2 linked regions of the Caenorhabditis elegans genome follow. The protein of the gene in region 1 interacts with the protein of each later gene in a pairwise test. Each region holds a gene or a part of one and is shown on either strand. Other genes may lie near its edges.

What was found.
Region 2: the proteins of T23G11.7 (region 1) and ape-1 interact in a two-hybrid assay, tested with the Caenorhabditis elegans proteins (one large-scale study listed by BioGRID).

Annotation. Positions count from the first base shown.
Region 1 is NC_003279.8:7,676,480-7,682,763, forward strand, and holds T23G11.7 (HAUS6_N domain-containing protein), read left to right. Parts: upstream 1-2,968; 5' UTR 2,969-2,976; coding exon 2,977-3,073; intron 3,074-3,254; coding exon 3,255-4,243; 3' UTR 4,244-4,354; downstream 4,355-6,284. Other genes in the region: golg-5 (Golgin-84), read left to right, coding at 203-274, 321-520, 566-723, 771-1,002, 1,057-1,276, 1,321-1,478, 1,647-2,001, 2,054-2,314.
Region 2 is NC_003283.11:11,672,917-11,680,299, forward strand, and holds the start of ape-1 (Apoptotic enhancer 1 protein), read left to right. Parts: upstream 1-3,021; 5' UTR 3,022-3,045; coding exon 3,046-3,105; intron 3,106-3,339; coding exon 3,340-3,471; intron 3,472-5,078; exon of another isoform or gene 5,079-5,283; intron 5,284-6,796; exon of another isoform or gene 6,797-7,004; intron 7,005-7,208; exon of another isoform or gene 7,209-7,355; intron 7,356-7,383. UniProt on the Caenorhabditis elegans protein: Negetively regulates apoptosis via its interaction with cep-1.

The DNA.
Region 1 (6,284 bases):
GTCTAGGTTTCTCATGACCGAACTTGACGAATCCACGTTCTTTCAAAGCTTGTTCTTGTTTTTATGCTTCGTAATCGATTTTCTGAAATACATGTTTTGAAACGCATATCTTTCGTTTGTCATACATTGGAAACTTTTATTTAAACGATTATTCAAACCCACGTAAAATGAATAACTTGTTTTTACAGAGAATTAAACACGAATGTCATGGTTGTCTAAAGTGTCCGATATTGCCGGAGCGGCCGAAAATCTTTTGAATAAACTTGATGAAAAGGCAAATCTTGAAACTAATGTTTCTATGTACAGAATAAATGTTACAGACTGGAGACGCAATTCAAAATGCCAGAGATTCCGCTCCTCGAACACGTAAATCAAGTACCGCCAGCGTCTCAGCAACGATTATTTCGATGCCAGAACATGTTATCACTGAAGATTTCGGCAGACCGGCTCCATCTCTTCCCTCGAGAGCTCAGAGTGATTATACCGGAGCCGGATGGAGAGGAGGAAGAAATTATGAACAGTTCGTTATTCTGATTTTCTTCACATGTGTCATTTAAAATTTCAGGGGTAGTTCATCGACTCATCAGCCAGGAGTAACAGCAGCATCTGAAAGTTGGACGATGGTTTTAAACTCGAAAGAAGTAAAAAATGCAAAACCAGATGAAGATACACGAAGTCAGAGGAGTGTTGGAGGCCGTAGTGTTGCTAGTATTCGAACTACCTGTATGTTTTGACGATTCTTACGAAACTTTTGAATTTTGATTTTTCAGCAGAATTTGCGGGAAACGATTCGAGTCCCAATTTTAAATCTCAATTATTTGCAAAGGATTCTCAAATATCAGTATTAAAAACGAAACTTTCTGAAGTGGAAAGAAAATTTGAAAAACGTAGTCAAGATTATTACGAGATGAAAGCTGAAAAGGAAATGTTAGAGAAGAGAGTTGAAAACCAAAAAGTATCAAGTCATGAAATGGATAGTCTTCAAGAATTGAAATTAGCCAGGTAATTATATTAACATCTTGACGTGTTGTTTTGCATTTAATTCAAGTTTTCTAGACAAAAAGCACAAGATCAAAAAGAGAAAGCAGTGGAGGAGTGTAACATGCATAAGAGAAAAATAGTTGGTTTGGAAGAAGAAATTCGTGCGATGGTCGAACAGTTGAGGCTGGCAAAGTTCAATCTGAATGAGAACAAAAAAGAATTTGATGAGTACAAGAACAAGGCGCAGAAAATTTTGACAGCTAAAGAGAAACTGGTGGAGTCGCTGAAGTCAGAGGTTTGAGAGATTTGACCGAGGATTGATATTAAAATTCAATTCAGCAAGGAATCGGATCCAGTGATCGTCCTGTTCATCTTCTTCAAGCTGAAGTTGAAGAGATCAGAGTTGAAAGAGACCTTACAAAAGCCGATTTAGAATCTGCACAACTTCAAGTTTATACCTTGAGATCTGATATGGAAGAATTGGAAGCTCAGATAAGGTAAGGTTTTTCCTTAAATTTTTCACATTTCGGATTTATGACGAAAATTCAAATTCTCTCCCATACTCGATGGTCGAGCTTTTAATTAATAGCTTTTTAATTTTTTAATTCAAAAAAAAGAGGCTTTTTTGAGAAATTCTTAGTACTGTTCCAATTTCCACTTTTAAGAGATCTCCAATCTCAATTGTCGGACCAAAAACGAACTCATCTCGAGGAGAAGCAGACATGGGATAGCACAATTGGTCTTCTAAACGAGAAAGTGGAATGTTCAAGAATTGAAAATGAGTTCACAAAACAAGAAATGAAAAGACAAGGTGATCAGCATCAATCTAAAATGCTCGAGAAGGAAAATGAGTTGAGAAAGACGATTAGCGACTTGCGTTCACGAATGCGAGATGAACAAACGAAGCAGGAAGATGATGGATCATCACAACTAACTGATCTTTTACTGCAGAAGCAACAACAATTGGAAGATGTTTTAAGAAATAATCAAGTGTTGAATGTGAGATTGGAAAGACTTCAGGTGAGAAACTATCAATTTATGAATATCAAAAGTTGTAATATTCTGTTTTTAGAAAGCTACAAATCGTGAAACATCGATTGCTGTGGACTCGAATTCATCTCCAATGCACACGTCATCATCTCATCCACTTCTATCAAATATCAATAATCCACAAACTCGAAATGCTCTTCACACTGTAGATTCGACGGCATTCAAATTGTTATCAATGCTCCGCGGACATCCATCAGCCCGCCTCTTTTTTGTTTTGTACTTTATCATAATGCATTTATGGCTTTTCTTCATTGTTCTCACGTATACCCCAGAGATTCATTGATTTAATCACGGTTGTGTTCCTTATTATGTATGTTTGTATAATATATTGGGATTAACATATACTGCATGGTTAGTTTTTACTTGGTTTAGTGTTTCTTTTCTTTTTTCGATTATTTTCCAGTGTGATACCCGCTGTTACTTTTCCCGTACCCCATTTTCGCTTTTTTTTTGTCCTAAAATAATTCATTCTCTTCAAAATACAATAATGACTGGTCTAGATCCGAACTATGTGAATAAAAATAAACATCAGCTAATGTAGGATTTTCCCTGTTTGTCTATAAAATTTTGCGGTTTTCATATAAATTTCCGCCTTCAATACATCTGAGATTATCGATTTTGCTGTCATTCTTGTCAATTTCATCCTCCATTTTCCATTTATTTGATTTCAAAACAAATAGCAGTGACGAATGTCGCCAATGATGAGGATGAAGAGACGCAGAGTGATAGGGGAAACTGTTTGAGTCATACTTCGATTTCTGTTTTCTACAACTCTTCAGTTCGTTTTCTTGCGATAAAAGTAGCAATGATTTCATTCATTTTTCCTTTTCTTGCGAAATTTTAGAATAATTATTGTCGGGAAAGAGTTTTAATATTTATTTAATCGTACTTTAGAAGTTTATACGAAATTTGTTTATTTTTAATTAATTTTTCGACATTTCAGAAATGTCTGCGAATCTCCCACCAGCATTCAAACCAATTGCTCACTACATAAAGATTGCTAACGAGAATGCAAGCCGCGATCCGGTCATTTATTACTGGTGTAAGTTATTTTTCAAATATTTTGACCAAACTATTCATTTGAACCGAATATCTCATTTTCCCCGCTTTTTTGTTTGAGCTTTTATCTAACTATTTGTAAATACTAACAGGGTTGTGCGGAAATTTTATTAAATACCAAGTAACGAAAATCTTTAAAAATTGTGAACTTTATCATCGCACAGCCCTGCTCTGTATGGCACTTGGTCCTGTGGAGACAACATTCGATGAAATATCGTGGAAACTACTTCAAACATCGATTCGCCTGGAAAAAGATCATATCAATGATAGAGATTCACTCCGAGAATATATTGATGAACCTGGTGGAGTTGTGAATAATTGTCAAAGAGCACAAAATATATCAATGGAAATTGAACAGAAAAATGTTTCGTGTGAAAAGCTGAGAGAAAAAATTGCAAAGATTAATCAGAAGATACTTATTGGAAAAGGAAAGCTTTCAGAAGTGAACGAAGAACTTTCCAAAAAGCAAAATTTTGAGGAGAGTTTGAAGCAGAAAATTGAAATTATGGAGCTACAAATAAATAAAAATCAGTCCAAAAAGGATAAAGAAGTGAAATCAATCAATGTATTGATCAGATTAGTTGCATATAGAAAGCTCACATTGATCAAAGAAGTCATGGACCTGTTCAAAGTGAAGATCGATGGAGGGCCAGCATCTGAAGCAATTACTACTAAAAACTGTCAATGTCAGCTAATCGATACGATCCGTGGACTTCATATTCCTCAAATCACTCACATTTTCAATCACTCGGAGGCTCCAACTCTAACCGCACTTCAAAATCTGACTCATCTCTTCAATGTGATTTGTAAAGTTCTACACTTTGCTCCAAAATATCCCATTCTGACAAATCTTCAAATCATCAACCCAATTGATCAGAAAAGTTCAATATTCACGGAGAAATGTTGGAAGAAGAAGGCAGATCGTGAGAAACTGATTGAGGGAATGTCCTGGTTGAGTAAAAATATCAGTCATCTTCGTGAAAGTTGTGGAATTCCGACAATGGCGACTGACAGAATTCTCGGAACACTTGAAGAATGGATTCGATTAGTTATTCGCAAGGAAACTGTTTTCGAGAGACCCATTAATAGTATCTTTAGTCCCGCAAACTTATTGATTGATTATCAAATTCCAAACATTTCCTACCATAGTTAGGTTATTCAGTTATTTCCTCTGTGAAGTGATCCCCGGAAGTCTGATTTATTCCATCAATCCTTTTTTACATTCCCAGTGTCCGTATGCTTTTGCAAATAAAAAACATTGTATAATTTCCTAATCTGAATTTATTCATTTTCTAAACATTTAATCCTCTACAGGTCTCTTCTATGCTGTTCAAACTGCCATGAAGCTTGATAAATCAACTGTCGAAGCACGTCAATATCTGACTGGACTTCTCACAACTCTTGAAGCGATTAAAACTCAATTGGCTGACAATGATGCTATTAAAAATGAGGTGAGATTTTAATTTTCAAATGACTGTATAAAAAATTTTTTCAGACAATTGCTCAAGCACACATTGAAAGTTTTGCTGAAAAGCTCTTCAACTTTGCCGACAAGAAAGAGAAAACAGGAAATGTTAGTTGATTTAAATTTGTTTTCTGAATCAGAAATATTTCGATTCAGTAGAAATCGAATTTTGATGTTTTCAAAAATGCTAATTTTAATAAGTAAACGAAAAAAATAATTTTTTTCAAAAACATGAGAAATGGCTAAAATATAATGAAAATGTTCCCCTCAAAAATCAAAGATTTTCGATCAGGGTGTCGGCGAAAAATTTTTCCATTTTTCCGTTTTTTTAGAGCAAAACCGAATTTTTTTTTCAGAAAATGCTTCTGAAAACCTTTAAAAATCGTTCTCTTTCAAAAAAAATTTAGTATTTATATTCCGGTTTTCCAACAACAGAAATTTCCCATTTTTCCAGGATGGAAAACATTAAAGCTTTTTTTTCGATTTATCAGTTTCTGAGCCAAATTTTAAAAAACTAAAAAATTTTGTTATTCAGCTATTCAGAAAAACCGGCAAAATCAGAATCAGAATTGAACTATTTCAGGTCGATAAATCCGTAGTCCACGCATTCTACACTGCAGGACATGTCATGGATATTCTTTCTCTGTTTGGAGAGGTAAGTAGATCTGAGTATTTATACTAATTAATTTATACCAAAAAACAAAAATAATACATTTCTTATTTTACCCAACTAAATTAAAAATTTTAAGAAGTCGGTTTTGTTTTTGGTTTTTTGGTTCGAAAAAATAAAAAAACAATAGTTCTGGTAGAAATATATTGAAACAAAGTTTTTTTGCAGATTGATGAGCCATTCCTTTCATCAAAGAAATATGCTAAATGGAAGAGCACACAGATTTTCACATGTTTGAGAGATGGAACACCTTATGTACCAAGTAGTCAAGAGACAGAAGATGCGGACGATGGTAGGCTTCGAGATTCTTCATAGAATTTTCAAGAAAAGCATTTTGAACTTTTAGATTTGTCACAGTTTGGAGCACAATTCCAACCAAATGCTCCATCTTCATCAGGGCCACAGGAGCACAGTTATAATCAACCACCGGCTCCTGGATTTGGATTTGGAGGTGGAATTCCGAATGTCCCATCAGGTTAGAAAATATTTGAAACAGAAAAAAAAATACACAGCTTAAAATTGAATAACTCGTTTCAAAAAAGTGAAGATAAAGGGTGTCGGATTTTCTTTTTTTTTGAAATCTAAAAACCAAAAATGAAAAAAGTGAAAAATTTTCGACGACATCCTTTTTTAGGATTTCAGAAACTGCATATATTTCTTTGCTTTTTTCAACGAAAAATTTTGATTCTGAATTATTCGAAGCAAAAATTAATAGATGTTCGGAAGATCAAAAATTTAATTTTCTTTTCAAAAATAATTGAATTCTGAACTTTTAAAGATCACTCTCTTCCACCACAACCACCTGCTCGCAACAATATTCCACCTCCATCGTATTCTTCAACTCCAAATCTTCCATCTCATACTCCATTTTCGGCTCCACCACCACGTAATCAGCCACAACAATACGAAGATTTCTCAACACCACAGCCTGTTGCCCCACCTGGCTCAGTGCCAACAGATGAGGAGTTCGCAGAGGTTCGAAAGCTTACAAAATATGCGATGAGCGCCGTCGATTACGAGGATGTTAAAGCGATTCGTGACAATCTGATTAAAGCTCTC
Region 2 (7,383 bases), on another chromosome or scaffold:
TAAACGAGTAATTGAAATTAATTCTCAGATTTCAGTTGACATTATATGTGTTTCGACCAAAAGCACGTTTTTACAATAAATTTTTATTAAGCCGATTCTGCTGCTTCTTTTGTAAATTTTTAAGGCTCATGAAGTTTTGCCAAAAAAAACTTCTGAGCTTCTTTCTTGAAAACGTAACAATAATTTGAAAACATATAAAAAATCACATATGAAAAATCATTTGAAATAAATTATAATACATTATAATGACGTTTAGATTTCCAAAATTTAAGGTTATTCAAGCAAAGACTGGTAATCAGTAAATCTTAGGCTTTCTTTTTCGCCCAAAAAGTGACAAAAAGTGAGAAAAAGAACCGATCGTTTTTTTGTTGTAGTGTTTGTTCTTTTTTGTTCAGATGAGTTAATAGTTTTTTTTCAGTTTTATCTAAATACATACGCAATTATATTTGCCGACCTAATCGATATCGATCGCGAATTTAAAACTTTCTCCCTAACGTACCTTCACTGACATCGCGTCGAGACCCTTTGCATATCAATGTGAGTGCGGCTTTAAAACGTGCTACTGTTCCGGCGGCGTGTTGTTCATTTTCTTCTTGTTCTTGTTTTTCTTTTTCTTTTCTCTCATGATTTTTCCCGATTTTTTGTTATTTAGTGGCTTTCAATAATCCCAACTTCTTCAATTTTATAGTTTTTAACGTAAAAATATCAGATTTCAGTCGTTTCCTACTGTGTTTTCTTTATTTCACAGTGAAATTTAAACAATACATCTTTTGAATACTGAAACCAGCTGTTTTCTCAGTTTTTCTTTTCGTCACACTGATCGCTGGAAGACAAACACGAATTGTTCATCACACATTTTTTTTTCTCCCTTTTCGGCGAAAAAACCGAAAGAAAAAGTTTTCCGCACCCTTGTGGGCAAAACGATGAGCTCGCTCGTTTCGCAGGAGAAAAGAGCGCCGAAGGTATTTACTTTTTGGATGTCTAGCTTTCGCTTTCTGTGATAAAGATCTCACCTATAGCGCAATATTTCAATCATTTCCGGCGATCAGTTCAGAAATGACGTATTTTCATATTTCCCTCTCTCCGTCTCTTCTGTCTTCCTAGTCACTCTCTCTCATTAGAATAACGGTCGCTCTCCTCTGACCTTCTTGCCCTCACAACAAACGCACACAAATATCCTTTTCTTTTGCCTGTATTCAACAGAACCGATTATGCTCTGCGTCTCTTCAATCAACTATGTCTCTCATGTGCCTTTTCATTCTGCGTATCTTCTCTCTAATGCACTCCCGTGCTCACCTTTTCCGTCCCTCCATTCCTGTACTCACATCGTTGACACGCCCGAACGGTCGAACGGTCCGTATGAGAAATTGGTTCAGCCAGCTTCCTTCTTTCTACCTTTTTTTTGTTTATTTTGGATAAGGAACTCTGAATTTTAATTTTTACTTAAAATATTTAAACGGCTTTCAATTTACTTTTAAGTTATTGACAAAGAAAAACAATCATTGAGCACATTTCCAATAGAAAGTGCACTCTTCTTGTTCCCACTTCAAACAATTGAAATGTGCGGGAGCAAAAGCTCCAATTCGCTTCTAGTTTTCTCCTTGTAGCGAACAAAACAATGATGTTCTTTTCATTTGGACAAACTTGATTTGTAATTTTATATAATCGATGCAATTAAAAAAAATTTTCTCTACCGCGAACCTATTTTAAAAACTCAAAATAAAATCCTGAATTAAAAGAACCGGAACATTTTTACTTTTTCCTTTTCGTTTCCTGATGACCATTCGAGTTTCGTTAGTGACAAGAGAAAGAATTTGTCGAAATTGAGTTTTCTCCTCTTCCTTCCACTCTTTTGTGCTTGTTCTGCTTCCGAAGCAGCCAATTCTCGACTGAATAGGCCACTTTCGGAATTATTTCAAGTGGACCTCTTCCTTCCTCTATTCATCATGCACTCTTCTACTTCTGCCCCCATTTTCGCTCAATTGTCAACGATTTGATCATCAGAAAAATAATTTTTCGCAACTTCACTTTTTACGGACCATAACTAGCAACCCACATTTACCGGTGTTCTTCTCCTATTTTTGGTCGTTAATCAACCGGTGATCCATTTCAAGGTTGATGTCCCCGATCTCTTTTTCAATGTCTGTGTATCTCTCATTCTACACCGAAAGCCGTTTTGGCATTGTGCCAAGTCTCTTTTTGAAGATATGTGGTACGAGACTGTGAGAAATAAGAAAAGTTTGTTGATAATAAACGAAGCGAATAGAGAGAGGCACAGAGGGACGACCCCAATATCTAAGAGGCCGTGTTTACTTTGGCTCGTCGTCATCTTTCGAACCAACACATGCATACGCTCCCTTGCGCGCGCGCTCCTCTGATCATTCAATCGCAGGTCCTCCTTCTCTTCGTTATTTTTGTTACGGCTCGTTCTTTTTTACGTTTTTAGCATGTGAGGCGTTTTATCAGCAAGTTTGAAGTTTCAGCAAAATTTCATATGTAAGTTATTAACACCTTATCACTGATTAAACGGTATTATTACGAAATGATAATAATTCGTAATTAGATACAGAAAACTATAATAACACGGCTACTTGATAATTTTCATTGTTATGTTTTTGGACTCTCTCCTGATTTTTCTGTTTCAATGGTTCAATTCCTCTTTGATCATTTTTAATGGCGGTGAAATATTATTTTTGTTCTATAATATCTTCAAACCACCGTGTTAATGTGAAAAATTAAAAGAAGTTTGTTTTTATTTTGAAAAATTGAAAATTGTCATAAATTTCACGAAAAAAAACGGTCGAAATTCTCATTTTGGAAATTCAAGCATGGAATTTAGCCAAAATTTAAAAATTCAATTTTTCGTTGTTCTTCGATTTTATTCGTTCTTCTTCTGTGGCATTTCTGAATTTTAGACAATTTTGGATTTTTTAAAGAAAAGTTCAGTATTACGATTCACGTTTGCTCTTTGTCATTTTCTCTCAATCCTTTCAAACAAAATTATACTAATCTTCCCTCCATTTTCAGATCTCAGTTCTCAACGAGATGGTCACGACCAGTAGCGGAGGGGGTATAGGGTACCCGGCAAACAACGGTGTCACACAGGTGAGAATCGAGATTAATTATTTTTCAAATTGTTACAAAAAGGGATTGATCTATTTTTGTAAATCTTATATTCACGTGATTCATGAAGTACGTGAACTGTGACGAAATCATAATTTGTTTAAAAAAAAATCTAAAAATAAAAATTTCAGTGTCGATAAAAATTTTTCAAAAAATATTTAAGGTCTACTGTTAGATTAGCAGATGTTTGACGATTATCCATTTTTCATATTCCAGGTGTCTCTGATTCACTCGTCGGATTCTGTACGAACTGTTTCAACTGCCCCAATATACCGTCCGACGTCATCAATGGCATCTACGATGGCTCATAAATCTTCGACGGCTCCGTTCATCTCCGCAAATCAACGAGTTAGTTTTTTTTGTTTGAAATGAAAAAATGCGGAACAAAATTTTCAAGAAACGGAAATGCTATTAAGATTTTATTAGAAAAAATTGAAAAAGAAAACTCGATAACGGAAATTCTTCATATAATTCAATTGGTTTCTCCCTTCATCTCAACAATCCGTTTGATGGATGATGGCTAGGTTCTGATAATTTGTAGTTTTTTTGCGGGGAGAGTAACGGAATTCTTTGAATTTTTGCATCTCACGCAATTGTATCATCACCTTCCCAAAAAAAGATAGTCAGAAAAGGAGAGAACACCTCAATAGCGTATCTTAGCGTAGAAAAAAGTCATCTAATTTTGATTTGAAGTGTCACGTTTTGTTTTTTTTTTTCTGCCGGGCCATAAGTCAGGTAGGCAGACATCAACGCATCACAATCGCCATAAAATAATGATAAAAATATTATATTTTAAGATAGGTCCTGGTTTGAATTGGTTAAGATTGTCGAAGATCAGAAACGGATAGGAATGCATCAGAGATTATTAGTCTCGCGTGATACCTTCAGATGGATCAAAATGACTTGCTTTTTTTAGTTGATCGAGATTGATTCGGAAAAATTTATACCAATCAAGTAAATTTTTGATGGAAATAAAATCAGTAAATTTTTGATTCAGTTCCAGAATACTCGGAATATGCCTACAAACTGAAATTTCCCAAAAGAAAAATAGAAAAAATTAAGAAAGATCAAAAATTCCAATTTTCAAAAACGCTCTTTTTCAATTTTTTCCCTATTTTAATTTCCTCCAAAAATAAAACTGCGATCAATCAGCATTTCGCTCCGCCCACTTTTTTACCAATCAGACGAAGACGCTGATTGGTTCGAAACTGGGTGTGGCTTCGAGATATGTAAATTCACACTTTTCAAAGTTGGAATTTTTGATCTTTAGTAATTTTTTCTTTTTTCTTTCGTGGTATTTCAGTAAATTGGAATTTTCAGAGTTTTCTAAAAATGTATCCCCATTTTTCGAAATCCTCCTTTAAGATTATCAAAAACATTTTCATAAAATAGTTTAGTCAATATAAAAATTCAAATTCCTGATGATAAATAGTCTTTCCATAGGTTCACGACCACTTTTAGTTTAAAAATTTCTCTTTTTTATCTTTCGGTACCTAATCACCACATATCATTGATAGTAGTGAGTGCTCTTCGTGGATCGGTCAATTGAAAGAAGATGCCAATTGGCGTTCTCCCCTTCTTACTTTTGCCCTCCACGAAATTGAAACAATTTTCTCATCATCTTCATTTTCTTCTTCTCTCGTAACAGAAAGTCTGACCTTTGAAGAGAGACACAGAAAGATAGACGAAGTATTCGTGTGCGTACGCCGTACGCGCCTTGCCGATTAACCTCGATTTATCATTCAAGCTTTCCCCTATATTGGATTCTCCGACTTATTTCTTCATTTTAATTCTCTTCTATTTTTATTTTCTTGACCCACTGGCCAAAAGCTCTTCGTGAATATTAAAAAGTAAAAAAAAGTTCCTCCTCTAGCGTACACGAATATTTTTTGTTGATAATAGACAACAACTGTTTTATTTTTGTTTAATTATTTTATCAAAAAAAATCTGTGGCTGTGAAGGAAAGATCGCCAAAAAAAAACTGGTCAGTCGATTAATTTTCGATTATAAATTTTGTTTTTTTTTTTCACTTTTCACTCACTTCCTTCTCATCGTTGCATAGTCTTGCGCACGTCGGCAACGCGTATTACAACTAAATTAATTGCGCAATTGTGTGAGTGAACGCGTGTGTGAGCGTACGCTTCTCTCGGCTTCTTCTCTTTCAATTCCATCATCTTTCTATGTTGTCGTCGTAGAGTCGCATAAAGTTATAGATGTTATTTTTTTTCTTGTAGTGTAATCGAGACTGTCGTCAAGTCATTATGCATAATGATATGTATTACGTGTTAAGCGTTATTATTCTACAATTGTAAAGTATTTTTTCATCTTCGCGAGGCTGTCGGTGACTGTTCAATGATTGTTGTTGTAGTATTTTATGACAGAAGATACTATTCTATGGTGGCAGCCACTACAAATAATGCCATACTCTTTAAAATATTCTTGAAAAAAAACTGATTAGAAATTTTGAGAATCGCTTCATTTAAGTAAAACATTTTTTTTTGATCGGTCAAAATGGGATACATGTTTGGTTCGCCGAAATTTTTCTTTACTCTCTTCCGGTGTTTAATGTTCATTTCTCTTCCGGTGGCCCGAAAGAGTTCTAAAGCTAAAATGTGACATGTGATATCATCATTTTGAAAACACTTGTTTTTTTTTATCTTCCGTTCGCCAACACGACTTTTTTCTTATTACCACATCTGATCCAATTGAAAGGGAAACCGATTTAAGTAATATAAAAGTCATCTCTTGCATAGGTTTGAAGTGTTGAAGTTTTGACATTTACTTTTTCATTCTGTAACTTTTCGTCGACCAGTTGAATCCTTTTTCTATTCCGTTAAATACATTCAGCTTAGTTTCATGCTTTTCAATACACCAACAACCATCAACACAATCGTTGTCCGAATCGCCTCAGTTTGGTATGCGATTTAATGCGAATTGTCGGTGACTGTCGTAGAAATTAAAATCAAAACAGATTTTCTTCTATTATTTTATGTTTGCTAAATTCCTCAATAGTTTGTTCAAAAGCGTCTTTCGTTTGTTTTGAATTAATTTTTAATTCACTCTTTCTTCTACTTCATTATTAATTTTGTGCGAGAAGTTCGTCAGATCATCATGAGGGCGCATAGACACAACATTTACGACATGTTTCACTTTCGGGATTTTCAATTGAACAGAACACCACCAGCACGAAGACAACGACAACGATCCACACTTTGTTCCAAAATACACGTTCCTTCCCATCGTAGGGCCTCCTGCTGAGCTTTTTATCCTATCAAAGAAGCTTCTTGTCGAAAAGGAGAATATATTTGAAATATTAATCTTTGTTTGAAATTATCAAATTGATAATTTAAATAGGTTCATGTTTCATAGACTAATTCAAATTTCATTCTATTTCTCTTTTTGCCTCATTTTTACTCTGAAACATTACCTAGTGTACAGTTACCAATAACTGATAGACTCTCTAAATCCAATAATTATCTCACGGGCTCTTTCTGATTCAGGGATATTAATTTCTGCACCTGTCAAATTCGTATTCCAAATAGATCCTAGAATTTAACAAATTTAGCCATTTTATATATATAATATTCTTGCTCTTGATCATTAACACTCGATTTCCACTGAAAGATCAGATCATGACGCTCAACTATCTGTGCTTGATTCCCGTACTTCCGATACTTTTCGCAATATAGATCTCGATTTCTCGAGTGCTTCCTATAGTGAGCCGTGTGCCGTCTCCTACTGTTTTCTTATTGTTTTGATTGTCTCGACAACAAGCCGCGAGAGACCACGTGCGGCCGCTGCCCACCAATAGAAACGATATTTATGTCTCGTAGAGTCTTGCCGACTGTTTTTTACGCTTTCCGTGCGCGCGTCGGCAAGCTCCGATGGCGGCACTGTAGAACCTCCAACTCACCGTCATTACCCACACTGTGCTCTGCACCGTTCACACTCATCAATAATTATTGATGTTGAAGTTAACTCATACATCCATTTAATTCGATTTGATTTCTTCAAGTTTACATAAGGCATAGTTTCCACAGTTTTACAATATAATTGTTAGTTGTAAACTATTGGTTAAATAGCTCACACCCTTTTCATCTTCCTGTTGGAATATAATAGAGGTTTATGGGACGGGACGCCGTTTCTCGTCTTCGTCCCGAAACAAACTACTACCACCAAAAAAAGAAGAGGAAGGTCTCTATCGCTTCGCGCAATCTTTTTGACTTGAGTCCTCTGGTCATTCTCAAACATTTCTCACTC